Regions from separate parts of the Mus musculus genome. Here all the other regions are reported to be linked to region 2. Evidence: microRNA targets listed by miRTarBase, many of them from high-throughput screens and not tested one by one. Region 2 holds a microRNA gene; each other region holds the end of a gene's coding sequence.

Evidence for each region. The annotated mature microRNA mmu-miR-5101 reads UUUGUUUGUUUUGCUGAUGCAG and lies in region 2 at 2,229-2,250, opposite strand. An mRNA with a match to its seed (bases 2 to 7 or 8) in the 3' UTR can be bound and repressed. Matches are read on the target gene's strand: a 7mer-m8 pairs with bases 2 to 8, a 7mer-A1 pairs with bases 2 to 7 and ends in A, and an 8mer does both.
Region 1: miRTarBase lists Nab1 as a target of mmu-miR-5101. Seed matches in the 3' UTR shown: 7mer-A1 at 1,500-1,506, 7mer-A1 at 2,064-2,070 and 7mer-A1 at 2,077-2,083.
Region 3: miRTarBase lists Tspan18 as a target of mmu-miR-5101. Seed matches in the 3' UTR shown: 7mer-A1 at 569-575, 8mer at 572-579, 8mer at 576-583, 8mer at 580-587 and 8mer at 1,683-1,690.
Region 4: miRTarBase lists Gtf2h2 as a target of mmu-miR-5101. Seed matches in the 3' UTR shown: 7mer-A1 at 350-356 and 7mer-A1 at 355-361.
Region 5: miRTarBase lists Cramp1l as a target of mmu-miR-5101. Seed matches in the 3' UTR shown: 7mer-A1 at 3,145-3,151, 7mer-A1 at 3,150-3,156 and 7mer-A1 at 3,631-3,637.
Region 6: miRTarBase lists Slc7a14 as a target of mmu-miR-5101. Seed matches in the 3' UTR shown: 7mer-A1 at 593-599, 8mer at 596-603, 8mer at 600-607, 8mer at 604-611 and 7mer-A1 at 3,251-3,257.

Annotation. Positions count from the first base shown.
Region 1 is chr1:52,454,855-52,459,943 of GRCm38, reverse strand. Nab1 (Ngfi-A binding protein 1) reads left to right here. Exons shown (of 8, transcript NM_008667.3): 8 at 638-4,095. The coding sequence ends at 726. Among named protein-coding and RNA genes, the nearest start is that of Gm23460, 13 kb to the right of the region's middle.
Region 2 is chr12:75,906,315-75,911,403 of GRCm38, reverse strand. Mir5101 (microRNA 5101) reads right to left here and starts at 2,301; the gene lies at 2,219-2,301. Syne2 (spectrin repeat containing, nuclear envelope 2) reads right to left here. Exons shown (of 116, transcript NM_001005510.2): 14 at 4,531-4,693; 15 at 2,458-2,536; 16 at 2,041-2,228; 17 at 224-388.
Region 3 is chr2:93,199,726-93,204,814 of GRCm38, reverse strand. Tspan18 (tetraspanin 18) reads left to right here. Exons shown (of 10, transcript NM_183180.2): 10 at 393-3,055. The coding sequence ends at 440. Trp53i11 (transformation related protein 53 inducible protein 11) reads right to left here. Exons shown (of 8, transcript NM_001025246.2): 8 at 3,058-5,029. The coding sequence ends at 4,896. Among named protein-coding and RNA genes, the nearest start is that of Trp53i11, 15 kb to the right of the region's middle.
Region 4 is chr13:100,464,130-100,469,218 of GRCm38, reverse strand. Gtf2h2 (general transcription factor II H, polypeptide 2) reads left to right here. Exons shown (of 16, transcript NM_022011.4): 16 at 193-642. The coding sequence ends at 312. Among named protein-coding and RNA genes, the nearest start is that of Naip1, 14 kb to the right of the region's middle.
Region 5 is chr17:24,960,370-24,965,369 of GRCm38, reverse strand. Cramp1l (cramped chromatin regulator homolog 1) reads left to right here. Exons shown (of 21, transcript NM_020608.3): 21 at 424-4,144. The coding sequence ends at 588. Jpt2 (Jupiter microtubule associated homolog 2) reads left to right here and starts at 4,747. Exons shown (of 5, transcript NM_198937.2): 1 at 4,747-4,802. The coding sequence starts at 4,759.
Region 6 is chr3:31,204,371-31,209,459 of GRCm38, reverse strand. Slc7a14 (solute carrier family 7 (cationic amino acid transporter, y+ system), member 14) reads left to right here. Exons shown (of 8, transcript NM_172861.3): 8 at 62-5,089. The coding sequence ends at 384. Among named protein-coding and RNA genes, the nearest start is that of Gm33834, 26 kb to the left of the region's middle.

The DNA of each region.
Region 1 (5,089 bases), not on the chromosome of region 2:
GACTCCTCTTCCTGAGTACCTGGGTTCAATTCCCAGGATCCACATGGCAGCTCACCACTGTCTGCTATTCTACCTCCAGGGTTCCAATACTTTCATGCAGGCAAAACTCCAGTACACATAAAATAAAATAAATTTAGAAAGGTCTATGGGTTCATGTATGTCTTGCCCTTGCCACTCACTATATTCTATGTCTATACTCTCCTCATTTTATAGGTAAGACACAAAGCTCAGCTATGTAACTTACCCCAATTAGTTTATACCTAGCAGTTGGTGCAGTTGGGGGTCTAAATAAAACTGTGAGTTTGTTTTTGTTTTTGTTTGTCTGTCTGTCTTTATTTTTGTTTGTTTTTCATGAAATGGGTTCTTGCTGTGTGACCCTGGCTGGCTGGGTACTCTGCCCATAGCCCAAGTTGACCTGGAACTTGAAGTAGACCTCCTGCCTCAACGTCCCTGAGTCCTGGAAATACATCACTACCATGTTGCGATAACCCATGCTTTTAACAACTAAATAAAATTCCATCTGGAATTTCATAATTATGAATAGTTAATGTTTGCTAGGAAGTTTGGGGTTTAATAACTTGATGTTGTAGTCCACTGATTTCAAATTCCAAACTCTTTCTGGTTTTGTTTTATGTAGAGAGCCTTGGGATTCTAAAAGACTATCCTCACTCTGCATTCACCTTGGAAAAGAAAGTTATTAAAACAGAGCCTGAAGACTCAAGATAGCTGAGATGCTCCTACTGTTCTCTGGAAATGGCACCAGATTCAAGGATAATGCTCCATCATAGATTAAGCCTTAATAACCAGTGTTGCCTCATTCAGCTCACAGACCATAGCCAAAGCATAAGAACCCACACAGTAGTCTGTGGACATCAGGACAAAACAACAACCACAGAAGAGGGAATCAAGAGAGCATTGCAATGTAACAGACACTGACCACTTACCTTCCTGTGTAAGCTGCTTGTGTGGAAAGGCTCAATATTGTAGGCATTCACTATTTAAGAATGTACAACATGTCTTTGTAATTTATAGAAACAAGTCTAGGTGTTGATACCTTGTGGTCTAATAGATGTGGATACCATTCATTTTACTTGAAATTTTGTTGTCTACTTTAAGTGTATTTGCCATAAATGTTACTCGTCAGCAATTAGAACTTTTGCAATCATAGAAAGAAAGTCTGGGCAATGTAGTTATTGGCAAGGTGACTGGAGAAAGATGGAAGATAAATACACAATTTACACCAAGGAGAAGACTGTGTGTTTAATACTTGATAACATTGATTTTGATTAATAGGAAATATGTAGCTGTCGCTAAATAATGTCACCTTCATTGGTTTAATCAATGCACAAATTAAAAATTGGAGTAACATTCCCAAAATGAGGTAGGCTATATTTATGGCAGCTGCTTAAGATGTAACAAAGGTTGGACAGAGGACATGAAATAAATGGGTTATTGTGTAAAAGCCTTGACTTAAAAACATTGATATTTCAGAATATGTTAAACAAATTAAGGCATAGTAAGATAGCCCTAAATGTGATAAAGATGATGGATGATGTGGGTGAATGGACATGGAATGTGTGTCTTGTTTTCAGTTCTGCTTTAGATCATGCTGTTATAGATATGAGTTCCTAATCTGTTATACTGAAATCTGTTGGCCAGATGTTAGGTGAGATGTGTGCACCACCACAGGCTCTAAGCAGTCACATAGATAGTCACTTTTCAATTTGATCTGTAGAAGAGTTCTACAGTAGAAACACCAGTAAACAGCTTTACTACAACTACAAGGCTTTTCCCTTCCTAGATGATTCTATTGGACCATAGCACCTTGCCCACTAAAAACTATCTTAGGGACCATGTGCCTCTGTTTCTACCGTGAGGTTGATTATTGTGGTCTCACTGTCCACTGTGTGTAGAGCTAGTGTGATACCATTTAAATAGAATGTTCAGTTTTTAATATTAGCCACAGCACTGGATATTATCCCTATACTTTCATGAACCGTTTCCTGTGTTCCTTAATCTATTTTGAGAAATTTTGTGGTCCTTTTTCTTTTAAAAAAAAAAAAAAACAAAAACGAAAAACAAAAAAACTATGTCTTACAGTTCAAGTTCGTAGATTTTAACATTGCAAGTTATAAAAGATGCAGTAGTCTTCCAGCTGATATATATCTGTCTCTCCTGGACCTAGAACCTGCATTTTTAAATCCAGAAGAAAGTCTCCTTAAGTAGCATACTTTTCTGACTTCCAAGCTTAGAGATAGAGAAGAAGCACACACACACACACACACACACACACACACACACACACACACACACACAAATTTTCAGTAGAATACAATTTTTATCTTGTGAACACTAATGTATTAAACTTGCTATACATTAAAGCAAATAATATATATTTTTATTTGAATGGTATATATAAATTAGATGTTATAACTAGTGGGGTGTTCTTCATTTCATTTAAGATACTTCCACTGAACAAGGTCAATTGGTTACCTCAGTATTACAGCCAATATAACCCAAGGGACCATTTCTCCCTAAGTCTGTGTTATTCTTTATTGTGTGAATTCTGCATTTTTGTGATTCCTAAAACTGTTGAAGAGATGAGTGAACTTGCTTCCCGTGGCAATAAAGGATTTCTCTGCCTCACAAATCCTTGCTTAGAGTGCTTTGCATAGCACATGATGTTCGTCTATACTGCCTCCCTTACCGCATGTCGGGACAGGATGCGCTTCTCTTTTTTCCTGTGACACTGAGAGTTGAACCCAGAGGCTCTACCACTGATAGGCCCAGCACTCATGTTACTTTTTTATTCTGAGACAGGCTTCCTAACTTGCCGCAGCTGGCCTTGAACTCACTCTGTAGACCACACAGGTGGTGGTCACCTGGGGAGACCTTTCCTAGCCTGGGCTTCATACATTTCACTTTTGAAAGGGCAGAGTACTTCTGACTCAGCACCATGTTGTTTGTGACATTGATGCTGCTCTGAATCTTCAAAAGAAAACCAACCAGGTTGTCAACCCAATGAGAGCAGGAGCCCTGGTAGATTCAAGAGATTACAACAGCAAATATTTGATGAAAGCCCTCTTCTGACCCAGCGCTGTGCAAGGGTTGGTTCTGGGGATCCAAGAACGTGTATTTGCTGTTATCTCTGGGCGTTCTCATGAATGACATTCTCCAGTGGCCTTCAAGTTAACAAAGGATGACTCAGTGTCCACTGTTATTGAAAACACACATTGATGACAACTGTTTCCATAGCAACCGTGCAAGACAAACATTCCCGACACCTAAGAGATCAGAAGCCGACACTGTGATAATGCTTTCAATTCTGAATGTGTGGTGGCTAAATCGTCCAGGTCACCCCTGGATTCTGCTTTGGCTGACTTACGGAAATGAAGAAAACAATCACTTGTTCTTGTGCAGAAAATATGAAATCATAATTTAAGTTCATAATTCTTTTAAATTAGTCTTATGTTCTACTTACACATATTTTTCTGTCTATTTTTTTTACCATAGCTTTAGAAAGAATGATAAATAATAGCTGGTTTTGTTATAAATTCATTAGAACTCCTTCCTTCTTTCATATTTTCATAGCTGCTAGGCCACACGATTCTTGAGCACTACAGTATTCTTTTGAATTCTGGTCTCTTGGCAGTGCCTGATTCTTTGGTCATAATTTCTAAGACTGTTCTTTTGACTGCTCCATTTATGTCCAGATCTCACTTGTAAGACATAAAAGGGCTCATTTCTGCCAGTTCACCCTCAACCAAAGGAAAAGTTTAATATTGTTGTAGTGATTTAATATGATGTCTAGAACAGAAGCATTTAAAAATAACTCACCAAGCACTAAACTCGATTTTTTAGCATTCACATGACATGCTACTTACCATTAGCTTTCTCTTTTTATTTTTAAAATATTTCATTGATTTTCTATTTTTAAAGTAGTTAATTGGGCCAGTGTGATGATGCCCACTTTTAATTAGTCCTTGAAGGTTGAGGTGGGGCAACTGTAGTTTGAGTTTGGCCTACACAGGAAGACTCAGTTGCAAAAGGAAAAGACATTAATTGGTAAATAAAAATGGTACATATTCAAGTGTATAACATGGGTTATCTACCTGTTTTGAAAATGTGTTCATTGTGTGTGCATGACATGTTTAACACATGCTGTGGCATACATGTGGGGCAGAGGGTAGCTTGGTGGAGCTGGCTCAGAATTGAAACAAGATACTAGGTTTGTGAGCACTGATTATTTAATTTCTGTACACCGTGCATCCTGATTGCCACAGGCAAATTAAGACACCTCAGTGGGAAAGTGGATTCTGGCTGTGCTTGACTGCCACTTACCATTCTTCAGTTTGCTTACCTTTGCTAAACTCTCAGTAGAGTGTTTTAAATTCTACACAGCATCACAAGACAAAGATGTGCACTGTTAGAAACTGGGAAAAACATAAATTCTACTTTATGTTCCAGAATTTTAATCCACTTTTTATGATTCTACAGTTGAACCCAGCACCTCATGCATTCAAGATCAACACTGCCACCAAGCTATGTTCTCAGCCCCTATTTTTTTTAAATCTTTATAATTGCTCTCTATTTAAGTTTTTCATTGTGCCTTCTCCAAAGTATCAACTTGATTTTTTACAACTCCAAAGAAATGTCATGTTGGATGCTGCCATCAAAATCTGATGCTTCAAAATGTAGGTTATACAGGTAACATTGGTACAAGATAGAAATGCAGCAACAAAAGCTAAAAAAAAAAAAAAAAGTCCCATGAGTCTCCTCTGTTAACCAAGGAGTGTCAAATTCCAAGTTTCCTGGTAGTCCAAACAATTTGCTAATCAACCCCATAAGCAGCGTTGCTGTGGTAAGAACCCATGACATTATAAATTAGACTGTACTTCATATTTACACATTGTGAAACCTTGTGAGTCATCTTTGTATTAAAAATTTACACCTCATAGATGTAGGTTTCAAGTGCCGTATTTAGCACCCACACATAATCCAAGCAAGGAATGCCCTTCTCTTCTAACTGCTGCAGACACTTCTCTTGGCAGGTCACTTGGGCTTAAGTACAGAGGCAGCTGCTTAGGCA
Region 2 (5,089 bases):
GGGAGAGTGGTGCACATTTGTAATCCTGGGGCTGAGGAGTGACAGACATGATCACTGGGCTTGCTGGCCAGCTGGTCTACCCAACTGAGGTGCTCCGGGTTCAGTGAGGGACCTTGTCTCAAAAATAGTGTGGACAGCAGATGAGGACACACACACACACACACTTACTTGCATGACCAAATATTATATCCCCAGAAAGCTGTTGCCAGAAACAAGAACTTACAAGTGGAGTTTTGGTGATGAACTTTCTCCATCTTTTATTGAGCCTTCTCAGTTCTTTAGAAATAGATGCGGCAACTTCTCTACTGCTGACTCCAATCAGGAAACTCCCCACCTCATTCAAAGATGTGTGTTTTGTGTTCCACTGCAAGAGGGTCTCAACGGGAACCTATGTCACAGATAAGCACCAGAAATGTTTGATGTGAGAATTGTATTGCTATTATCCAGAGGCTCTGCTAAGGCTTATTCTCAGCGAGACTGAGTGTGAAGGCCTTTGAAGAGAAACTGACTTCCCTCTTAGAGGACCTCCCAGCTTGTTTTCTGGGGTTGCTGCCTAGCAGGTGCTCGACACTGTCCTCCTGGCCCAGGACTCTTCAGAAATGCCTGGTCAACTTTTCTAAGTATCTGATAAACTAACAAAGGTTCTTAGATTCATCTGATTAATAGAGGCCATACCACTCTGGTAATGGTTTCAATAGAGGCAATATTGCCTTGATACTTGATATTTAATATCAAGGCCAAGAATTTCCTAAGTCATCTAGGGCAAATATGTAATACTGGCACAGTGTCTATGTGATAGATGCTACCAAGTCTCCTGTAAAATTCAAAGTCTCTTTTAAGATCTCTGGAAGCCCAGAGTATCTCAGCAGAGTCACATTCAAGACGGCAACTTTCCCCAGGTTTATGTACATTTTAATATCAGACCCTGAAAGACAGAAGAACTATTGAAAACCAATGGTATGAGCTTATAGGACCAACCCAGGTGACAGGGAGACGAGGGAACTTTCTAAGTCTAAGGTGCTCTCTGTGCACTCCTATACTCCCTGCATTTCTTCCATACCAAGAGCCTACTGTCCACAAAGTAATTCTGCTCCATTCAGAGTGAAAGGCTGTCTTGGTCCACTTTCAACTACAAAAGCGAGTGACAGAAACACATGCTATTTCCTAGCTGGCATACAAAAATAATAGTTGCACTGACATTCCTTCCACACATCTGATATTAAAATATACATAACTCAGAAAATGCCATCTTGAACATACAATCCCGAACCTCTGCCATGATGCCAGAGATCTTGTTAGAGCTTTTTAACTCTGGCGTGGTCTCAGCAGCATTTATCTCCTAGAACCCATGCTGCTACTAAGTTGTGGAACTAGAAACTAGATGACTTAAATTGGGACGTGTTAAATAATTCTTGGCCTAGAGACTAAGGAAAACCATCATGAAGGTGGTATTAGCCTCTATTGATCAAATGAATCTGGGACCCTCTGTAGGAGGGAAATTCAGAAAAGATGTAGGGGAAAAAGGTTTTAACTAAATGGAAAATTGTAATTCTTAAAAACAGTGATTTAGGTAGGCATGGTAGGACATGCCTGTAATCCTATCAGAAAGGAAGTCCCATGAAAACAGGAGAGTCTTGACTCTGAAGCCAGCCTAGATCATATAGCCAAGAACCTGTCTCCAGGTTCTTGATAGAGTGATCCAAAAAAAAAAAAAAGCTGTATTATTATGTAAACGTGTGTGTGTGTGTGTGTGTGTGTGTGTGTGTACAATTCAAAGGAAATACTCTCTGACAATTACATTAGGAAAAAACTAAGTTCTTCCCAAATTCTTGAAGAATTTTCTAGAAGATATGTTTACTCCTTTGTTGACACTCAACTTTTGGACTCAAAATGGGCTTCCAAACAAAAAGAAATAGAAAAGTTCATTCTAGCTGGACATGGTAATGCATGCCTTTAATCCCTAACTTGAATGGTGTATGTATGTAGTCAGTCTCCAAAAATAAAATGTAAAACTGGGATAGAACCATTGACTTCAAATACCTCTTTAATTTGTTCCTTCTTTGTCAAGTCAAAAGAAGCCTTTAGTAGGGCGAGATCTTCCTCGAAAGTTGCCCAAGACATCAGTGCTCTTTGCAGTGTGGCCTTCGTGTTATGGATGTATTGTCTGCACGAGTGAACATTCTTTTCCAGCATCATATACTCCTCTCTAATACTCTCACATTCTCTGGCTGCATCAGCAAAACAAACAAAAACAACAAGTCTTACAAAACGGTTTTTGTTTGTAACTGATACTAAGAAAATTATTTGCATTAACCAACAAGCATGTTGCCTAACAATATTAAAAGCAAAAGAAAGGAAAGCAGGGATGAAAACAGTTAATGTCCAAACCATCAAAGTAAAACAATACTCATCTTGAAATGATAGCTGACCCATTAAAAAGCAACTAGGATACTTTACCCGAGTTCTTATACATTTCTTCACATTTTTGAAAAGAAGCATCAAGTTGAATTAGGAACTTTTTTTCTCCAGTAAATTTCTGTGAAGGAGAGGCAAAAAAATGTTGACAGATTTTACTTTTGAAAATGTGCCAAGAAATCCAGATGTCAGTATGTGATGTCAGTAAAGGGCAAGGTTGCCAGCAATGTTTGAGTATTCAATACCACCACACTGCAGCAGCAGAAATGGAAGGAATGGTTCAGGAAGGGTGGCTAGGACTTAGGAGATGCAAGAGCACAATGACACAGGGCTATCACAGCAGATTCACCTTAACATAGCCATGTGACTTTACACTGCGTCCAGCTGATGGGAAAAAGCAAGTTTATCAGTCATAGCAGATCCAAGCCTTCCAGCTCGTCCGTCTTAGTAACATTGTGTAACTGTGTCAATAGCTTAGGCTTCCCAGGCCTTATTCACACTAATTAGTAAGTCTTCATTAGCTACATTAGGTTACTTTTTCAGAAGCTATCCCCACCTGCACAAAGAAGGCTGTGAAACTATCATTAACTAATTCAGCTGTGGAAAATCCTGGGGCTAACTCAGAGCCGACTCTAAACCGCCTGTTTATTATATTAGCGGTTCTCAACCTGTGGGTTGCATAAGACCATCAGAGAACAGATATTTACATTACAATTCATAACAGTAGCAAAATAACAGTTATGAAGTAGCAACAAATAGTTTTATGATTGGGGGTCACCAAACGTAAGGAACTGTATTAAAGTGTTACACCATTAGGAACGTTAAGAACCACTGATTATATTCTTATTTTGTGCTAGCTAACTACTATGATTACTGAACCAGTGAAATGTAAATCCAAAGCTGGGCATGATGGCACACTCCTGTAATCTAACACTTACAGGAGAATCGGGAGTTCAAGACCAACCTCATTACATATGACCCTATCTCAAAGTACAAATGAACAAACAAAAGCCCAGAAAAAAAAAACAAAACAAAACTTCAGAGAAGACAAAAAGTTATATGTAGTACTGTTCTCCATGTTTTATATATAAATAAAACCTAGCCCAGTTTAGAATGATGCCTCCAATTTGGAAGAGCATAATATTTAAATGATCAATTATAAACAGATATGTATGTCTTCATCATCCTCTTCCATTTCCTTGAAACTTATAATTTTGAGTTTTTCAAGTCTCCCCACCCTCCCTTCCCATAAAGAAGGCGCCCCATGGGGTTTCCATCTGAATTTCTGCATGGACACACCTATGCTTGTAAGGACACGCCTATGCTTTTGGTTTTTGTGACGGGTTTTTCTTTGAAGCATTTAAGCCATTTCCTACTCAAACTTGGGTGAAGGGCAGCCAAGAAGGCACCACAGTGCATAAGGCACTTGCCACCAAGCCTGGAGGACTGCATTCGGTCCCTGGGACCCACGTGACAGAAGGGAAGAATTGACTCCCACAGGATGTCCTCTGACCTCCACACGCATCCGTGGCAAGCACCAAAGTAACTGAAACTATATTTTTTTAAATTTCAAAATAAAACTTGAGGGGCGGGGGCTGGAGAGATGGCTCAGTGGGTAAGAGCACTGACTGCTCTTCTGAAGGTCCTGAGTTCAAATCTCAGCAACCACATGGCTCACAACCATCCGTAATGAGATCTGATGCGCTCTTCTGGTGCATCTGAAGACAGCTAGGGTATACTTAGATATTATAATAATAAAAAAAGAAAAGAAAAAAAACTTGAGGGGCTAAGACCAAAGTTTTCAAAGAAAAGAGAACCGTTGAATGGAAGCATAAATTGAAAAAAAGAACAAAAGTAAGCAAAACTTTGTAATGGGAAAAGACCACAACGGAGCCTTCTTTATGGCCCTAACCATCCTAACTCCATCTTGACCAAGGCAATCCTCATCTTCTTACTCGTTCTCTAGCAGCTATTTGACCACCACTGATGGTTTTCTCCAGGGAAACTGAAGCTAACGAGGCCTACCAACAAACACCCAAGCCCAGAAAGGGAGAATCCCTGAGCTAATCCAGACAGCAGGAGAGGGAAGCAGACGCCCAGCCCGCAGCCGCTCACATGCCAGTCTTCCAGCAGGACTTCCACAGACTCCTTGCTCTCATAAGTGCCGTTCCAGACATCCAACTTGGCCTTCGCTTCATCAAGCAAAGCCAGAACTGAGCACTTAGAGTCATGAAACTCCAGGAGTGGGATGAAGTTTTTACCCAAAACGTTGTTGATTCTGGAAAACAAACAGGTTTTAGAATTGACCAAGTGTCAGAAATCTGTTTGGCATTTAAAGAAATCCTGTGATTTAATTTTTCTATTCAAACACATGAAACTCAAATGTATCTTCAAGAGTGTCCCCAGCCCTGTGCTGTGTGTGTGTGTGTGTGTGTGTGTGTGTGTGTCTTTGTGTGTCTGTGTCTGTGTCCTTCCATCCTCTCTTCTCCTTTTAAAGTCATGTGAAACAAATGCTCTGGCAAGATATAAAGCAACATTTCTAAGGTAAAAATGTAACAGAACATTTTCTGAAGAAATTATTCTCTTATTGAGAAATCCTGTTAAGAACACCCTAGAAATTTAGTTTTTAAATCTTAGGGTTTAAAAACTTCTGTATAATCTGATGCAGCTACAA
Region 3 (5,089 bases), not on the chromosome of region 2:
GTCTCTGCTCAAGCTAGGTTACCCCCACTGAAGCTGTGTGACCTAAATCAGGTTGTAAGACATCTCCGACATCTCCATGCCTCACTTCCTGCTGGTTAGAAAGGCTGCTGCTAACAGCATTGGAAACCTACTTTACATGGTAAGCTCTCGGTACACACTCAGGTGCCCAAGAAGGGTTGTGCTTTGCTTAAAGTCTCTGCCAACCCAAAAAAGACAGATTTGAGCTGTTTAAACAGATGACTTGCTTTCCAACGCCTGTTTTTTACCCAAGTGGCGAGCAGATGCTTGCCCCGGGTAGTGTCACAATCACGATTCCCCTCAGGAGGTGTGCTGGGCAGCCCCTCGACGTGCACCCAGTCTGACTCCAGATCATCTTCTCCCTTTCTCTGCAGCTCTTCCTCATGGTCTTTGCCATGTGCCTCTTCCGGGGCATCCAGTAGGCCTTGGCCTGAAGACACTCAGCCCACCACTGCCCAGAAGCCAGCCCCTTCTCTTCCCTGTCCTCTGGCCCCAGGGGCGGAAGCAAGGCCAGCCCAAACGGCCAGAAGCATAGAGCTAATTTTTAAATAAACAAACAAACAAACAAAAAAGACAGACATGAAGGGGCCTCACCTAGGCTCTAAAGCAAGGGGCATGGGCTCTACAAGGACCTAGGGCTGGCCTGGGACCAGCTGTTCCTGAGACCAAAGGTTCATCAGCCTCAGAGCCCCTTGGCCCTGTCAGACTGGAGTGTCCCTTGGCCCGGATCACCTCTCTTAGCATTTCCAGGATCAGAGCAACCAGGAGGTAGAAACACATCCTGGAGGAGGAGCCCGGTCCTCAGGCCCCAAGGAGCCGGCTTTTCACAACACAAGGACAGACTCTGCAGCACCATCTGCTGGAGAGCGAAGCGGTCCCTGCTCCCGCTGGCTGAGGGTGGCTGTGTGTGGACACTGGATCAGAAGGTGGCCCTTTCATTTCCGTCCAGTCACACAGCATGTGCATGACAAGGTCATCTCCAGGCTGCTGTCGCTCCAGCCAGGACTCCACCCCGATGTAAACTGGCCAGGAACTGCCTGCATCCAGCTCTACAGTCCGTACTGTGTCCACTCTGCCCTGCTTGTACCTCTGTCAGAGATCCAACTGTGATACATCACCTGTCCCCGTGGGCCATGCCCCACCCCTGTTCTCCCAGGTGGAAGACACCCCAGTATTGTTCATTTCTCTCTTTCTACCCAGAGCTGAGGCTTGAATGTGTTCTTCAAGGTCCCTGCCAAGAATTCACCCCTGCATCCCTCCACATACGGATGGATCTCACTACCTCCCAACTCAGCCTCCTGCCTTCAGATGCTCTGATGTCACCATCACCTCCGCAGACAGAAGGGGTTTCCATTTTTCCGTCTGTGTACCCCTTCACTCTCTCTCCTTTCTAGAGGTTAAGGTCATGCCTCTTGTCTGCAGACTTAACCCCACAGCATCTCCTACCGTGACACCTTCTGACCTTTTGCTGAACATTTATTTTGTTAGTCTCTCTAGGCTCAGATTACCCAGACTAATAGGTTCACAACCAACCAACCAACCAACAGACACACACACACACACACACACACACACACACACACACACAAACACCCCAGACTAATAGGTTCACAACCAACCAACCAACCAACAGACACACACACACACACACACACACACACACACAAACAAACACCCCAGACTAATAGGTTCACAACCAACCAACCAACCAACACCCCCCCACACACACACACACACACACACAAACTTGAACTGCAGGCTAGGTTAGCAACTAGTTGCAAGATGCCTGACCCTGCCAGGACCGTGTTGAATCCATTAGTGTTGTCTGTCAGGATCTCAAATTTGATTAATTATGTCTGCCAAGGGCACAAAAGGGGAACAGTGGTGGAAGGAACAGCTAGGTGTCTGCTCTCCTCTCTCAGATGGAAGAGCCTGACCTGAACTCCAGCCTTCCTTTGCCCTTCTGCCACCTGGGAGTCATAGCCATAGCCTGTTCTATTCTGCTGTCTGGGTGCAAGGGGGGCTACTTCTCCCATTTTCTCTCCTCTTTATGTGGTCCTCACCCAGCCTGGCCTTCCGGGGAGTGGGTGTCTCTGAATGCTATACGGAAGTTGTCTTTATGACAGCTTAATTGGCATCCCCATAGTAAGCTCCCTAGAGGCTGAGTCACCAGATCAGGGGGCCCCTCTGCTGGCTTGCACCCCCAGACTAAGAGGACCCAGGCTGACTCAGAACCCAGCACGTACTGGACTCCAACTGTCTAGGAAGGCAAATGGCTTGGCTATTGATTGGAAGTTCATGGCTAGGTTGAGGACTTAGCCCAACCACAGCGGCTGCCACCCAGAACTAGCCCAGGCTTCCAGAGATGGGCAGGGCTGGGACAGGGAGGGACTGAGAAGCCAGATATGGAGCCTAGGCAATTCCAGGGCAGATCAGAGTCCCTCACCAGAACTTTCCACACTTACGCTGAAGCGCTCCCAAGTAGCCCTGATTCAACCCAGCTTCTCAGCATCCTCATGGGGCCAGACAGACACAGTCTTCACCCTCTGAGCTTGCTGGTAGCCATTGCAAGGCTGTCTGAGGTCATCCTGGTGGGGCTTGGTGAGCTGCTCTGTGTACTCCCAGAGGAATGGAGGGGAGCTCTTCCTTCACCCCAAGATGCCTCAGCCAGTAGTGAGCAGAACAGCCACTTCCTGTCCCAGAGCAGTGGCCTAAGGGACAGCTGTATCTGACAGGCGAGGAGCTAAGACTGGACCTGTGGCTCATGCTCCCCATTATCCTGTCCCAAGCCCCTGGCCTACCTGGGTTCTGAACCCAGCACCTTCATCCCCAGGAACTCTGATACACACACACACACACACACACACACACACACACACACACACACACACACGTCATATGCTAAAGTCTATTTTGGAATTTGTAAATGTCCCTTGCAGTAGGAAACAGAGCTAATTTATCATTGTATCTCCCAAGTCTCCCCTTTTTATATTCTATATTAAGAGAAATTTTGTAATATAAAACAGGACACCACGCAGATTGTTTCTCATTGGTTGTTTTTTGTTGTTGTTGTTGTTTTCTTGTGACTGTTTCTTACAAAAAGAAAAAGGGACCAAGAATAAATAGTGACCATGACAGAGGCAGTCTTGGGGGCCAGGCAGAAGCATGACAAGAGGAGCTGGGGATGGGGTGGGGGAGAGCAGTCAGGGCACTCTGAGCCCAGACTCAGAGTGGGGCTCTATCTCCATCACTGCCTCCTTCCAAGCAGGTGTCTCCCGGAGGCCACATATGCCTTGACCCCACCCACCTAAATGTATCACTGCAGTTTAACCAGGGTGACCTGGGCTCCTGCTGCTGAGGGGAAGCCTGGCGGATGTCCCTGCAGGCTGCGCAGGGCTGGCGTCTTCCATTTCTACGACTACCTCCCTTGGGACTGTATCTGTATTTGTGGAGGATTCAAGATGATAAATCTTCAACACCTCTGAGAATGGTGTCAACAAATGTCACCTGGTCTACGGTAGTTGGGACTGTACTAAGAGCTGGCAGTGGCAGGGTCCATGGTCCGAGTAAAGAGGTGGGACTGAGGGACTGGCACCAAGCCAGTGACAAGAGGCAGGTATACACAATGGGCCCTTCCTGAACACGCAGGGAATCGCTACTCTGCCAGACCTTGGTTACAGAAGCAGCCCCGGCCACTGCTGGGCACATCCTCCACTGAGTTCCCTCCACTAGGCAAAGGCCATGGTCACAGAGCACTTGGCAGCAGGAACAACCGAGCCCAGGGAGGCTGTGAGCCCAGGTGCCCTAGAGAAAGATTCCTCGGGTATAGGGGACCACCCCCTTGCAGAAGGGAGAAGCCTCGGGCCAAATCTCTTAGTGTGCTTGCTGCTGAAGGGTAGGGAGGTGCTGGGAGCTAGGGCCAAGGGGAGGGGCCACACAGGCTGGTGGCACCAGGGGTGTGTCTTCAGCTCTAGAGGCCCACTTAGGGGCTGCTAAGGGATGGCAGACTCTTGAATCTCCTTCCGTTGTTGCATGTGAGCAGCTATTGGCTTTAACCCGTAGGCCTTGGGGCAGCCTCAGGAGGGGATCTGGAGGAGGCACTGAGCCAGGTGTGTAGCCATGCAGGCCTTGGAGGCCATGCCGAGGAAATGTCCCCACTTGTCCTCTCCTCAGAATTCCTCATGCACTAGGAGCCTATGGGCAGCTAGGAGCCAGGGACTATCAGGCCTGTGGTACATTGCCTAACCCTAGCCTGTCGGGAAGGGACTCTGGTGCTCTGGGACGCAGGCGGCCAGCCAGAGAATCAGAGTACCCTCCAGCAGGCCAAAGAGAGAGATGTGCAGGCTGAGGCTGGGGAACTTGGCCCAAGGGAGGCAGTCACTCCCCTTGCTAGATGTCCTCAACTGGATCTCTAGAAACACCGTGTGTGTGTGTGTGTGTGTGTGTGTGTGTGTGTGTGTGTGTGTGTGTGTGCGTGTGTGATGAGGGACTCACACATCGGGTTTCTGGATGGGGAGAAGCTGAGAGCCCCTGCTGGGGCCGACACAACCTCCTAGAAAGGGCTTCCTGGCAGAGGAACTCACCTTGACTCAGCCCAGACCCTAAAACTTACTCTAGACTCTGCCTGTTAGAGTCTAGAGGCCAAGAAACACAGGGCAAGGAGTTGTCCCTGCACAAGGGTGAGGGGTGGGGTGCAGAGGCCACAGCCTGGTCTGTCACTCCTAGAATCCCAGGAGACCCAAGATGACTCCGTGGAGTGCCTGGGAGGGAAGGAAGGCGTGTGCACCCTGCCTGCCTGCAGGCCTGTCTAGGACCCATGGACAGTGAAGTCCCCAGCTGCTCGGGCCCAGGTCCAGGCCCAGGCAGGTCCCAGCCTGCTACACTTTTTTGGGTTTCCGGCCGACTTGGTAATAGTAGTAGATGCTGACAATAACAAAGAGGAGGCGGCTGGCCAGGAGCAGCACGGTCCCCAGGGACATGAGGCCCGTCTCAGCAAGCGTGGCAGTGACCACTGTGAAGGAAGTCGGGGGAGGCAAAGGTCAGGAGCAGACACGTGCTTGAGCCTCTCCCA
Region 4 (5,089 bases), not on the chromosome of region 2:
AAGAGGGAAAAAATGTGTGAGGTTTGAGGAAATTGTGTTAGATTTAACACATTGGGATTAATAAGGTGTGTAGGAGGGTAGGGAAACATTGAAGAATATAGGGAGCAAGGCAACTGAATTGTCTTTTGGCTATGCAGTTCTTAACTTTTGGAAACTAATTTTGTTTATCTGCCTTTCTCCTTTCCATTGCAGGTCTATGTTTGCACAGTGTGCCAAAATGTTTTTTGTGTGGACTGTGATGTCTTTGTTCATGACTCTCTCCATTGTTGTCCTGGCTGTATTCATAAGATCCCAACTCCTTCAGGTATTTAATACCAATATGAAGAACACACACATCGAGTGGGTTTAAAAACAAAACAAAAGTTGTAACTGTAAATAAAATGATTCTTTGAATAAAGTGATTCTCTAATTAAAACATGAAAGCACTTTGAAAGAAGATCTGATTTAAGAAACTTTTAACTATGAAAATAGAGTATTTTTATTTGGATTCTATCACCAATATGCATTAAAATTTAATTAACTTTGTTTTCTGTTATTTTGAGCCATTTTTATTCTAACTCATTAGTGTGTGTGTGTATACACACACACACACACACACATATATAGATATTACTTGTAATGATTAAATTGATGTCATAATCTCAGTTTTTTTTCATTTTAGATTTTTATTTACATGCATGTGTGAGTGTCTACATGAGTTTGTTTACCCTAAGTATAGCTACCCACAGGGGTCAAGAGAGGGCATCAGATTTCCTGGAAGTGGAATTAAAAGGCAGTTGTAAACTGCCAGTATGGGTGCTGGGAACTGAACCCAGGACCTATGCAAGAGCAGCAAATACTCTTAATCACTGAGCCATTTGTCCAGCTCCAAAATATGCTTTTTTTTTTTTTTTAAAAACTGAAAACTGTATTCTATCATACAAAAAACAAGACTTTATTTTGGGAAATCAATTTCTAATTACAGCAAGTTTTACTTTCAGAAATAAATCCACAGAACAGCACATTCTAGTCCACCCTTACATTACCTGGTATGTTGAACAAGGGATATTCTGTTCTCTGTAGGAGTTCCTCCTTTACACTGTCAGGTACCAGGGCTCTGCCTTTTGGAGTGATTTCAGCTACCAAGTCATCCACAGGACCGTGTTCCAGGCCTTTTCCTTTAATTACCTCTGTATAGTGCACCTTCATCTCATCCTTCCAGCCACACTCAAGTAATTTAGATTTCTATTAACTTTTGGTTAGTCAGTGCTTTCACCTGCACATCTTTGTTCATTTTGCTAACTGACATCATCCCAAAAAATGCTCTTTAAAAAAACAAACAAACATGCATTCACACGAAAGAATACAACACACACACACACACACACACACACACACACACACACACACGGAGTTAAGTGACCAGAGCCCAGTCTACTGGATGTTTTTCTTAGGATTCACATACACTGAGTCTAGACTCAGTGGTTCTTTTTTTAAATTGCTTTTAAATTAAAAACAATTTTTTTTATTATAAAAGAGCATTGCAAATAAATACCCCCTCTAAAAACAAAACAAAACAAAACAGACCCAAAGACTGTACAAGTCAGTGAACTTCTTTACAATTTGAATAGCTAGTTGGAACAGAAGCTATAGAGCCTCACACTGGATTTATATTTAACTCTTGAAATCATTTTTATGCACATATCCACTACTCAAACTTAAAAAAAAAAATCCCTGTCAGTTGGAACTAGAGACAGTTAGCTTTCAATTCATTTCCTACTTGCAGTCCTTCCGCATCCTCTAAGACTTAGGCTTTCTTCTTTCCTGTATGTTGTACTGCCTCCACTTATACATTTGTTTATACACATATATTATTGACTGTATTCTGCATATGAAGAGCATGCACCTTTTTCTGCGGTCATGTGGCCTCACTTAATATTATACATTCTGGATTGATCTATTTTTCTGCAAATGTTGCAATCACTTTGCTTTTGCTTTTTTTTTTTTTTTTTTTTTTTTTTTTTTTGGCTGTTTGTGTTGGGGTAGTAGGGGTGGCGGGTTTGCTGTCCTGGAATTCACATAGACTAAGCTGGCCTTGAACTTAGAGATCTGCCTGCTTCTGCCTCCTGAGTGCTAGGGTTAAATTGTGCACCATCATTGCCTGGCGTAATCATATTTTCATTTAGAGCTGAATAGTAGTCCATTTTTATTTGTGTATCACATTGTCATTATCCATTCATATGTTGATGGGCAGGAAAGTTGATTCTAATTCTTTGCTCTAGCGAATAAAGCAATAGTAAACGTGGGAAATGTCTCTCTGGTAAGGTCCAGAGTTCTCTGGCTATAGTGAGGAGTAAAATAATGGAATCATACAGTAGGCCTATTTTTATTTTTTTTAAGACAGGGTCTCTCTGGCTCTTTTGGAACCTGTTCAGCTTTATAGACCAGGCTGGCCTTCAACTCAGAGAGATCTACCTACTGAGTGCTCAGATTAAAGGCGTGTACCACCACGTCAGGCTTCTTTTTGTAACTTTTTGAGGACTATCCAAACTCAATCCCACAGTGTCTGTATTAGTTTGCACCATTACCAACAGTGAGTATGGGTTTCTTTCTGTCTATATCATTTTCAGCATTTGTTAGATTTACTGATGGTAGCCCTCCTGGGGTTAGATGGTATCTCAGCATTTGCCTGATGGCTAGGGATATTGAACACTTTTTAATAAAAAATATTTATGGCTCTGTGGGATATTCACCAGAGGAGACTGCTCAGACGTGGGTTTAAGTTTTTATTACCCGGCTGGGTACACAAATGGGTGCTCAGGATCCCAGTGTAGCACTGAGCCTTTTTCAGGATGATCTTTTAAGCACAAAAACCATGTTGTGGATTGACATACTTCAGTTAACGAGACCCAGAAGCAGAACTGGAGAAACGAAATAGTGTATTTTGAGACTTTCCCAGGACTAAATGGAGTTTGATGGATGAGGCCTTTGTTTCAGTTTTGGCAGATGGTGCTGTCTTAAGTGCTGAGGGTATGACCCGAATGGCACTTCTATCATGGAGTCAGTTGTGCTGAGGTCTCAGGGCCTACTAAGGTCTGAGCCCTTGTTTCAATGGCCACTTTTTTTGTTTTTGTTTTTATATTTCAGACTGTCCTTTCTGTTTATTTGCCAGTTTGTTGACTGGCAGTTTTTATTCCCTTAGTATTTTCTGCAATTCTTTGTAAATTCCAGAAATTTGCCCCTTGTATGAAGTGTAGCTGGTAAAAGTTTCTCCTGTTACAGGTAACTGCTGTCTTTTTTCCTTGTAAGATATGTTTCTAGCACAGTCAGAATAGTCTTTATCTCCTACTCCTACCATGCTTAGAAGAAAGACTTTGAATGTCTCCTCTTGAAAAGTTACCAGAGCCAGTCTGCGATGACACACACCTTTAATCCTAACACTTGGGAGGCAGAGGCAAGTGGATCTCTGTGAGTTCAAGGACAGCCTGGTCTACAGAGTATAAGTTCCAGGACAGCCAGGCCTATACAGAGAAATGTCTCAAAAAAGTAAAACCAAACAAACAAACAAAAAAAGGAAGAAGAAATAAAAGTCACCAGGATGTATTAGAGACTGTGGTAGCTAGTTTTTAAAATTTTTTCTTATTCTCTTTTATATCTCTGACCCAAGTTTTTCCTCCCTTCTCTCCTCCCAGCCCCACCCCCGAATTCTCTCCTCGAGTCCCCCCCCACCCACCCCCAATTCACATCTACTCCATTTATATTCAGAAAGGGCAGGACTCCTATGTATATCAACTAAACTTAGCATTTCAAGACTAGGCACCCCCAATTGTCACCTTGTTGAAATACAGAATCACCTCAGGAGAGAGCCTCATTTGGGGAGTTATCTAGATCAGCTTGCCCTGTAGTCATGTATAGATGTAGAATTATCTTGCTAATTGATGCAGGAAGACCCATTCTCTGGCATGGAGTTCTGAATTAGCTTGATGAGCAAGCTAGCAGGAGCATGGGTGCATTTATTTCTGTCTGATTTTGACCATGGGTATGGTGTGACTGGCTGGCTCAAGCTTCCCAACTGGTGACCTCCTTGCTGTTAAGGACTGGAATTTTAGCCAAACCCTTCCCCCCTTTGTTTTGCTTTCTGTTGGAACATCTTATCACCTCAACAGAAGTGAAATCAGAACAAAGACCTAAACTCATTGTCAGAGGGGATAGTCCCAGTTTTAGATTTCATTTCCATGCTTGATAAGGTTACGATGAATATTGTCGCAATGCTTCAAAGGGAATTTACTTTTTCATAATCATTGAGAGAAGTCTTGTTTAAAGATTACAGAAGTAGAAGCTGGGTGTGTTTCTCAGCATAAGAGCACATGTTTAGTGTGTGTAAGGGCCTAGTGTCCATCCCTAGCACAGAGAGAGACAGAGACAGAGAGAGACAGAGACAGATAGAGACATAGACAGAGACACACACAAAGAGAGACACAGAGAGAGAGAGAATGGTAATCAAACTTGGGTCTTTAATTTCCTATTTCCTTCTTGTAACTTCATAATATATTATTTTGGTGTTCTTTCACTAAGTGTGTACTTTCTTGGGGAAGGGGTCATGTATTAGGGACTCATGTCAAATGTGCACATTTTCCTTTCTTTTCCTTGAGTGCTGTAGTTTAAACAGTCTCCTGTATGCTAGATAAGCATTCTATCCTGAATTAGTCCTAAACCCTTCATATTCTTGTCATTTAGTCTGACAATTTTTATCTTTTAATTAAAGCACTTAGTCCATTTACACTTAGTATATAAATTAAATTAATATGTAGTACATATTAATATTAAATATACTTAGTACCCTTATATTCAAGTGTACATGTAACCACTGATTCTTTGGGGAGTCAAACTATACATTGTGGTATTGGTTTAAACCATTGCATCTTCTGAATTGTATTTTTAAACGTTCTAAATTTTTCCTAATTAGTTAGAAACTTGTATGTTGTTTTTATTCTTTAGTGGAATTTCTAAACTTGAGTTCCCTAGAAAATAACATAAGGCAAAGATAAAGTATTGTTACTTCATTTGAGAGGTGCCACCTGGGGATTGGTGTTGAGGAAGAACAGGGAAA
Region 5 (5,000 bases), not on the chromosome of region 2:
GGTAACTGGCTCTGCCTTCTCGTTTGGTGGGATGTTCTCTCCTAGTATGTTCATGGACCTTGTACCACACGTGTGAGGCCCTGATGCTTTAGGGACCCTCATTAACTGTTGTTTGCTTTGATCTCTGCCTTCTCTTGTCACTGTTGGCCCTTCTGTGACTCTCTTCCTCATGAGTATCAGATGGAGTTGCTGCTACTATATTCTCAGTATCGAGGTGTTTCATGTTCTCAGAGGCTTTCCCAGGGGCTTGTGCAGAGTATGTTCTTACAAAAAAGTTCATGTGGTTAGACCACAAAGGATTCCAAAATTCCTCATAGAGCAGTTGGCTCCTTCCACTGACATTCTGCTCTGGGGGTCAAGAGCCTCTCTCTGGATGGTAAGCCGTCCTCAGACTAATGTCTCCTTGTCCCTTCTGTCCTACAGGTGGTGGATTCCCAGTTGGTGTGCATGATGAACGAGAACAGCATTGACTACATATCTCGGTTTAATGACCTGGCCCAAGAATTGTCCATCACTGAGCCTGGCCGCCGGGAGGTTCTTTTTGATGGTGGAGGAGGTGGTAATCCTGTTGGTGACCTCTCTCAGTGACTATGCTTTGTGACACGGGCATCGTGGAATCCACAAAGGAGGTCTACGGAGCTGGTCCCATGAATCTGTCTGCACAGTAGAGAAAGTCAAGCCCAGAATCCTGAGAAGACAGTGAACAGGAGCACCTCTAACAGCATAACAATATCCACATGCAAAGGACAGCCTGTGCAACAAGTAGGGGTTGTACCATCCACAGAAGCCAGGACAGCTGACCCGAGAAGGGTAGACCTCAGAAATCCTTTTGGTATCAGAGCCCTTGAAGTCCTGTAGCCTGTGTGGCGTCCTGACTGTATGTCTGTCTGTGTGTTGAGCCTTCCAGGGGGTCTCCTCCTTGCAAGAGGAGTTCATTTGCCTGGTGTTCATTTTGTCTTTGGAGCTGTTATCCATGCGAAGGGAGGCCATAGCCACTGCTGCTTTCTTTCTGATATCTTTTTTCCACTTGGCTGTTCTGTCTGCAGTGATGTTGCAAGGGACTGTGAGTATAGTCCAGTCTATTGCCTGGTGGTATCTTCAACCTAAGATACTTCCTGGTTGCCTTGACCATGAAGCAGAGAAGGGTCCCAGAGCCATGTAGATAATGGTATCTTCCCAAGACTACTTAGCCCTCAACTAGTGCTTCCTACCCAAACCATCCAGAGGTGTGGTTCTGCCTGGCATGAGGAAGGGGGAAGAAATTTTGTTTCTTGGAGCTTGTATGGATGTTTTGTATGGTCTTTCAAAGCTGGTTGGGAATGGCTTTCTTGCGGTTTAAGAATTGAGAGATATGGACAAGGAATAGTAAGAGTCCTTTATTTAGGTGGCTCTGCTTTCTACCTATGCTTAATGCCTAGTTCCTTCTCTCTCTCTCTCTCTCTCTCTCTCTCTTTCTTTCTTTCTTTCTTTTTTTTTTTTGGTTTTTTGAGGCAGGGTTTCTCTGTGTAGTCCTGGCTGTCCTGGAACTCACTTTGTAGACCAGGCTGGCCTTGAACTCAGAAACCCGCCTGCCTGTGCCTCCCAAGTGCTGGGATTAATGTTGTGCGCCACCACTGCCCAGCCTAGTTCCTTCTAAGTGATCTGAGATACCATTTCTCTCTAATGGCCTGACCCTACCCCAACCCCCAAATGCACTGCAATGTCTACAGATTTTATCCACACTTAAAATTTCATGTGTTATTGCTGGTATCTGAGGGGTGTCTTTGCCCCAGGCTATCTCTCTTCCTATTCTGGGACCCAAGCCAGGTTTAGATGTCAGGGTGTAGGAAGAGCTCACAGCTTGATGATGTTTTAGCAGCCCTCTTCAGGAGCCCAGAGGTGGTCAGTCAGTTGTCATGCTCAGGCCATCGGACTCAGAGTGGTGCCAAAAATACTTCCATTCCCCTTCTTTGCCCTTTAGTAGATTCTTGTAACATGGTCACTCTTGCTGGACCTAGCATATCAGGTAGCCATGGCTATTTCTTGTTGAACAGGTGACCCCTGTGCTAGCCACGTCACTGCTCACTCTCCACATGCTAGCCAGGGCTGACACCCCTCCCACCCCACCCCACCCCACTCCACCCCCTTTCCTTTTTCTTCTGAGACAGGGTTTCTCTGTATAACCCTGCTATCCTATAACTTGATTTATAGACTGAGTTGGCTGGAGATCTACCTGCCTCTACCTCCTGAGTGCTGGGCTGAAAGTAATGTGCTACCACACCAAGCTTGGCAGGTCCTTGTAACTCCTAAAGCTGCCACCTCTGTTTTCCAGCTGTTCTAGCCTCCTTCCTTGCACAGTAGTACTTAAGATCATCCTAGGCCCTTACGTCTCTCTGTCTGCAATGAAGAAAGGGATGGGAATGTCCTTTTGGGACACTTGATCCAGTTGCCTCTCTGGCTACTACAAACCCTAGAGTGCAGGCTCTGCTCCAAAGACCGTATAGGGCTCTGGTACTGGTGAAGGATCTGTCCCAGATGCTGACATGCAGACCCCACATCTGGTAAGAGTCAGACTGTTAGATGAGAAGCGCAAGCATATGGTGCCGTCAAGAGACTGTGGTAAGGTAGCCAATGTGTCTCTACCCAGTTGTGTGCTTTCAGCAATGCCTTACTTAGCTGAAGGCATTTAGATCTTGGGACTGTAGCCTGTACCAGGCTAGGCTCAGGCCACTGCTAGCTGCTCTTCCTGTGTTTCAGGTAGACTCTCCCACAACATTAATAAGCATGGGTGCTTGTAGAATCCTGGTAACTGCGCATGTAGAACTAGGTAGTTGGGCTCTTAAGCTGGTTTCCATGAGGCAGTGAATGCTGTAGGCACATGTTAGTCTGTGCCGGCTAAAAGGAGTTGAGACGTCTTGAGGAGCAGAGACTACAGCCCTTGTCTCCCAGTAGCAAGCGGCATCAGATGGACTGGTGCGTTACTGTAAGGAAGCTGACAAGATTCCAGAAGGTTCTTCACCAGCCATACTGGTTTGCTCATCATCGCCACATTAAAGGACAAATGGTGGCATTTGTAGCAGAGAATCAGTGGATACAACGTCTCCCAGCGTAAGCAAATATCCATGCATAAAACCTGAAAACTGCTAAAGGTTAGAGTTTTTTAAAAAACAAAACAAAAACAGCAAGGCAGGCTCCTGGGTTCTACATCTTCCTTCTCTTCCTTCCATCAGTTTGGATGGTTGGCGTTCACTCGGGCTTCCTCTCCTCATTGGAACTTAGTGTGACTTACATGCGGTCATTCTTTGAGAAAATCTTTTGTTAATATTAATGTTTCTTAGACATGTTGATTCATCTTTTTAAAAGATGGGGAACCTGTATCTTTGGTGCTTGGCATGGATTGTGTCCTAGAGAAGATGCTCAGGCGAGCTGAAGTCCATAGATCCTGTCGGGCATAGTACTTGCTCAGGGAGTGGGACTTTGGGACATTTCATCTGTTGGTCAACCTTTTTTCCTACCCTCCTCTTCTTTTTCATTCCTTGTGATAGCCTCTGCTAGGGGAGGTGTCATTCAGTTCAATAGCATTTTTAACCAAACCATATTATTAGAAATGGTCAAAATAAGTTTAGAAGGAAATTGTTTTATGTACTTTAAAAACAAATCTCCCAGATGCATTCATGAGGAAATACCGTACTTTGTCTTAATTTAAAAAAAAAAAAAAAACACTTTAAAAAAGGAAAGAAACCCACAGTATACCTTTCCCAGAGGCTAGCCTGGTGTGGTCAGTCCAGTTTTGGAAGCACTGCCCCAGCCAGACCCTTATTCTTTCGTAAGATCACTGGCTGGAGGGGTGCCCCCAGCAGGCAGAGCTCAGTGCTGTTTGCTTTGATAATCGTTAAGCCATATCATCTGAGGTTTCCGGCTTGAGATGTGAATTTGTTTTATAGACTATAAATATACAGTGTATGTATAAAGCAGAATGCCTGTCCTTCTGATTATTTTTTGTACCATATTGTAAATTACATTATTTATTCTTTACCAATTTTTTGGGAATAAAAGGTGTTTTGGTTATTTAATAAACAAGAACTGTTAAAACTTCGGCTAAAATTTCCAGTTCGGCTTGTAAATGTTTTTATTGTGCATAAATACATACTAATACTTCATCTAATGTCTGTCTTTTGTGCCTGCTTTCAAAGCCAGTATGCTTAGGGTATTCCAACAGGCACAGTGTAATGAGATGAGCTCTAAGGCCTGGAGGTGCCCTGGAGGTGAGGGTGAGCAAACAGGTAGGCATCAGAGATTCAGCGATTGAGTGACCGCTGAATGCGGAATTCATTACAGAATTCGCTGCTTCTGTTATGGGTATGTTGTGCGCTTCCATGAACCTTTCCTCCCGAAGGTGCTGTAACCCCAAAGAAGCCTTCCGCTACCACCGGCCAGAAACTTCCTAGTGCCATCCAGCCCGGGATAGGTCGGCCAGAAAATGCGGATTCGCATGCGGAGGCGTGTTGGCTGGGGGTGGGGCGAGCTGTGAACCAATGCCCACGCCTGAGGCCATGAGAGGCGCCCCCTGCAGCCAATCGGCTGTAAGCGCGATGCGGGCCTCCAAGCCTCCCTCTCCTTGGGGGCGGGAGGGAGGAGTGGGGCACGACTCTACGATAGGCTGCAGAGACATGATTGGCGCGAGAGGCGTCCAACTGGCTTGGGCGGGTCAGGGTACCTGCGCGGGACCAAGCGGGAACCGCCGCGCGGCGGCTGTGAAAGCGCGGGGCGGCGGCCGACATGTTCCAGGGCGCGGACAGCCAAGCTGGCAAGTCGGGTTCCAGGTGCGCGGACCGGTGCTGGGGCCCGGGTGGGCGCATAGCCGCAGCCACGTGGCGGGCGGGAGACCCTACAAGTGCGGTGGGTGTGGCGCGGGGCTCCCCTGAGGATACTGTGCGCGCTCTCCCGCAGGGCCTTGCAGGAAGGCTGTGGGGTTAGAGCGGAGTGGAGACCGGGCGGCGGGATTAAGACACGTGGCTCTC
Region 6 (5,089 bases), not on the chromosome of region 2:
CCCAGTGGCCCCCGGGCCCCAAGATAGCTGCTTATTCATTGTGCTTTCCCCCTCCCAACAGGTATGCTCATTTATTTTGGGTATGGCATCTGGAACAGCACCTTGGAAATCAGCGCCCGAGAGCAAGCCCTGCATCAGAGCACGTACCAGCGCTACGATGTGGATGATCCCTTTTCTGTGGAGGAGGGGTTCTCCTACGCCACCGAGGGCGAGAGCCAGGAGGACTGGGGTGGGCCCGCCGAGGACAAAGGCTTCTATTACCAACAGATGTCAGATGCGAAGGCAAACAGCCGGACGAGTAGCAAAGCGAAAAGCAAAAGCAAACACAAACAGAACTCGGAGGCCCTGATTGCAAATGACGAGTTAGATTGCTCTCCGGAGTAAGACTAACCGCGCAGGAGCCTAGAGAGGGTGGTTTCTTAGTACATCAGCCTATGTGCTAGAAGGTGGAAACTTCTTCCAACTCTCATTTCACAAACCCAGCCTTTCCCCAAGGTCCATCCCCAGGCATAACCTGTCATTTGCTACTTTTGCTCTTCAGGGGAATTCTGTTGAAGGGTTTTACCCAGGGCCCTTAACTAGCCCTCTTGTTAAACAAACAAACAAACAAAAATCAAACTCAAAAGACTACATGAAATTCTGTTAGTGAGATGCCCAGCCGATGGCAGCAAATGTTTGCTTTGCAGGATGGATCTTTGTGCTTCTTACAGAGATGGAGGAAGCTTCCTCCATCCCACCTGAGAACACAGCCCCGGGGGAAGGAGCCACAAAGGTGGCGGCAGTGCAGTGTGAGGCAGCTGTCAGCCCATCCAGAGCAGCGCTGTGAGCTCCTCCCCCAGGTCAGTAGGTCAGGCTGTTTCAGGACTTTCTCTGTCAGCAACACTGTGTCCTTACATCTCACCTCACCTTCTCACTAAACTTCCCACTAACCGTGGAGCAGACCCACGGTTCCTCACTCACCAAAGTTCTTACAGTTTCCAGACTATAATTTTAGGATCCAGAAAGGACTCGGAGAACGCATCCCCCACAAAGCACCCATGCAGACACAGTAGTATAGTTAGACCCACCATCAGAGCTTGAGGAAAAAAAAAAAGGTAAAAGCTTAGATAGCAATCTCTTACAGAGGTCAGAAAAGCATTGGCAGACATGAACTGTCTGTCATGCATTCCCTTATACCAGACCTTGAGCTCCTGCCACGATGGTGAAAGGGCAGAGGTGGGCTGTGACGCCATGCCTCTGATATGCCTGGAATAAGTAGGCTATTTGTTTTACAATCTGATAAAAAGTCTTTTCGAGGAGAAGTAACTCTGCCACTGAGATCACATTACAAATCTTACTTCATATTTCTAAAATTATAAACTCTGCAGAGGGTTTTTTTTTTTTTAATTTTTCAAGCTAGGCAACCACTTGGCTGGCTGCTGCTGTTGAAAACGGTGGTGCAGAAGGCCAGGGACTTAGGTCAATGAGCTCAGAGAGATCACACTCCCACACGGACCTCATGCTTCGGAAGAGCTCGCTTTTAGAGTATTTTTTCCTGTTCCTTCCCAAAGTACTTTCACAGAGCCCCAGAGAAATGCTACCTGGTGACATTTAAGTGTAGGCCACCGGAGGAATGCTTAAAAGAATTTTCCCAAAACAGGACAGATGAATCTGTGACAGGAAAAGCCTGTGAGTTATATCCCCCCAGCAGCCATGGATCCCATGGCTTCAACAGCGGGTGTACTTGTGTATGAAGACAATTTTCCTCACACTAAGATTTTTGTGAGAATTTTCTGGAAGTAGGGCAAAGACCAAACCCCCTCTTTATCATCTGCCAAAAATTCTCCTGAGAATCAACAAACATTCTCCTTTCTTAAAGTCTGAAGCTGATGTCTTCTTGGCATGCACTAGAGTTACAGAGAAAAGGTGCGCTTCCTGTTGCGCTAACTCGCTGAAATACACCAGTGGCTAAGTGGCAGGCATGAGGAGACCTGTAACTTCCTCCCTTGGAGCTTACAGTACAGGGAGGTGCAGTTTTGGAGCCCCATGACCAATGCAAGAGGCATACCAGAAAAATATCAGTTGAAATTATTTTTTAAGACAATGCATAATAAATTGCATACCATGCCCCTAGCTAGTCTATGCCATTGCAATCAAATAATTACAGTTTTTAGATCACTTCATATTAATTACATAGAACCCAGTATATTCATGGTATCATTTTTATGTAAAGTCTGACAAAACTGTGTATCCTCTTTCTTAAACTTAACCACCATGATCCAGTGTCTGGCCTGCGACAAATCACCCTGGAAAATTCACTGTCAAATTGATCTCATGATGTTAAAACCTAAGTTTTAAACTGGTTTAGGAGCAAGAAATCTGCCTGGTTAAATTGCATCTATTAAGCTGAAGTCGTGGGTAACCTTCTCTCCCTTAGGTGTGTTTAGAAGAAATATGGATACAAAGTGACAGATTTTCATGTGAGTAGAAAGTTTCCTTTTACTGCTGGTGTTTAGGTATAAAAGTAGCAATGGTCTGGTGGCAGCTGTGTGCATCTTCTGTAGCCTAAGAGAGTGAGCATGGGTTATATTAGTTAATGCTATTGGTGTTGATTCTGTGCAGAGCCAAGGAATTGATCTCATTTCATAAGCCATTTGTCTCCGTTGGTAGCTTTGGATGTCTTTGCTCTCTTTATTTTTCTAACATTGTTGGGGTCATCTTCTTAGCTATCTTGGTTTTTTAAACATTGTTTGGAAAGTTTTCTCAGGTACATAGCAAGGTTCATTGTGTTTCTCAGCTCTTATGGAAGAGTCCCAGGTTTCACAAGGCAACTTTCAAATACCATCAACCACAGAAATGACAATATCAGCTAACATATCTGAATACTGTATTTGTGAGGTTTCATTAAAAGAAGGGTCCCTTTATAAATATTTATCTTAGGAAATCTCTTCTGGTGGGTTTCAGTGTGTGTGAAGCCGATAATTTAATATCTTTGAATTCTATTTATTTATCAATACTCTGCATCATTTCAGAAAGATTGGAGGCAGCTATTAAAATGCATGTGCTCGGGCTGGTGAGATGGCTCAGTGGGTAAGAGCACCCGACTGCTCTTCCGAAGGTCTGGAGTTCAAATCCCAGCAACCACATGGTGGCTCACAACCACCCATAATGAGATCTGATGCCCTCTTCTGGTGTGTCTGAAGACAGCTACAGTGTACTTACGTATAATAAATAAGTAAATAAATCTTAAAAAAAAAATGCATGTGCTCCAAAACAAAAGGGGTGAGCACAACTGAAACAGAAGAGAGGGTAACACTAAGCCAGAAGTGTGTATAGTGCACAGGTGCAGAACTTTCAAGGGCTTGGCTACATTTTCCGATGAAGGGTGTCTTAGTCAGGGTTTCTATTCCTGCACAAACATCATGACCAAGAAGCAAGTTGGGGAGGAAAGGGTTTATTCAGCTTACACTTCCACATTGCTGTTCATCACCAAGGAAGTCAGGACTGGAACTCAAGCAGGTCAGGAAGCAGGAGCTGATGCAGAGGCCATGGAGGGATGTGCCTTACTGGCATCTTGGAAAATAATAGACTTGTCAGTAATGACAACCAGTACTGCTACATGATTAAAATAAGCCCTTCCCCCATAAGGGCACAGACCTCTAAAGTCCACAGAGAAGCGTCAAGCCTAAGTTGCACAGCCACATGCGCCTGCTGGGTAGTGGCTATCAAGAAATAACAGCGAGGTGGTGGTGGCACACACCTTTAACCCCAGCACTCAAAGGCAGAGGCAGGCAGATCTCTGAGTTTGAGGCTAGCCTGATCCACAGAGGGAGTTCCGAGACAGACAGGGATACACAGAGAAATTCTGTCTTGGAAGAAAAAAAGAAATAATCTTGTGATAGGTTGCATGGGAAAACTGAGTGAATGAATGAAATAGAGAGGAATCAGCTATTCAGCAGTTATTCATACTGCACCCACTGTGTGCTCTAGTGTATTGTGATGCCATAATATGTGAAAGGCTTCACTCCTAAGAATGAGATCTGTGGCTGGCCAGACAGACATGGGGTCAAAGGCGTGCCTCACCTAGCTTCACTTTGACCCTTGGACCCTGCATGGATATGAAAGGAGAGCACTGACTCCACCTCATTATTCTCTGATGTGAGTGCTCTGGAACACATGCACACATGCTCACCTCTGGGCTTGTCATTGCTAAAATTCAGTCCGTTTTGGAAAATAAGACCAAGAGAAGTGTCTACACTGCTGAAAGGGCTTCAGACACTGAACACCCTTTAAATCACTCGTATTAGAAAGCACATTACCAGAGACTCCCTCTTCTAAATATACAGAATCATAAAGAGAATTTCCATCTGTCCGAGTATCCACCCGAGAGAGACTAGGGAAAATCACTGTCTCATCTGCCACTGGGTTTTCCCCAGGGGCTGAGGGAATTCCTGAGATCCAGACAGAGGCTTCCTACCTTCTGTCTAATGCTCTGTGATATAAGGTCAAAAGACAGGATAAGGTGAAGCCAGAACGGGATCCGCTCAGGAAGTCCTGGGGGCACTGGTCCATCCTTAGACTCTAGTCTCCACATAGGGAGTGGGCCAGAGCTGGCTTCTATTTCCTATGGAGAGGTAGGGAAGAGAGCTAAGAAAAGGTGCCAGGGCAGGGTGGTGGGGTTTCTCTGCACTCTTGTGCCTGGTTCAAAGAGACTTGTTAAGGCAGGGGTTTCCAACACATCTTTAGGAAGTCTCCCTCTGTCAGCCCTGCTCCCCGGTTTTAATGCTGATCATTCGTTTATCCACAGAGAGGCCCTTTGGAGACCCTAAGGCCAGCTGTGAATCAGCAGTGGCCTGACCTTGTAAAAGTTCCCAGTTTCAGTTAACATTATTTCAGGCTAGAAACAGCACCCCAACCCACAGTCCCCACACCAGCAGGACCAGAGGCTGTCTCCTCCCAGAACTGTCTCGGAGTGTATGTTTGACTGCTGACAGACAGACAGTAAAACACCTCTGCCAGCCTTATGTCCTGCTTTACTTTCTCTAATACGTTAGAACAGGGACCGTCTCATTTGCCTTTTTTTTTTAAATCCTTAAAAGCAACTTCCTTT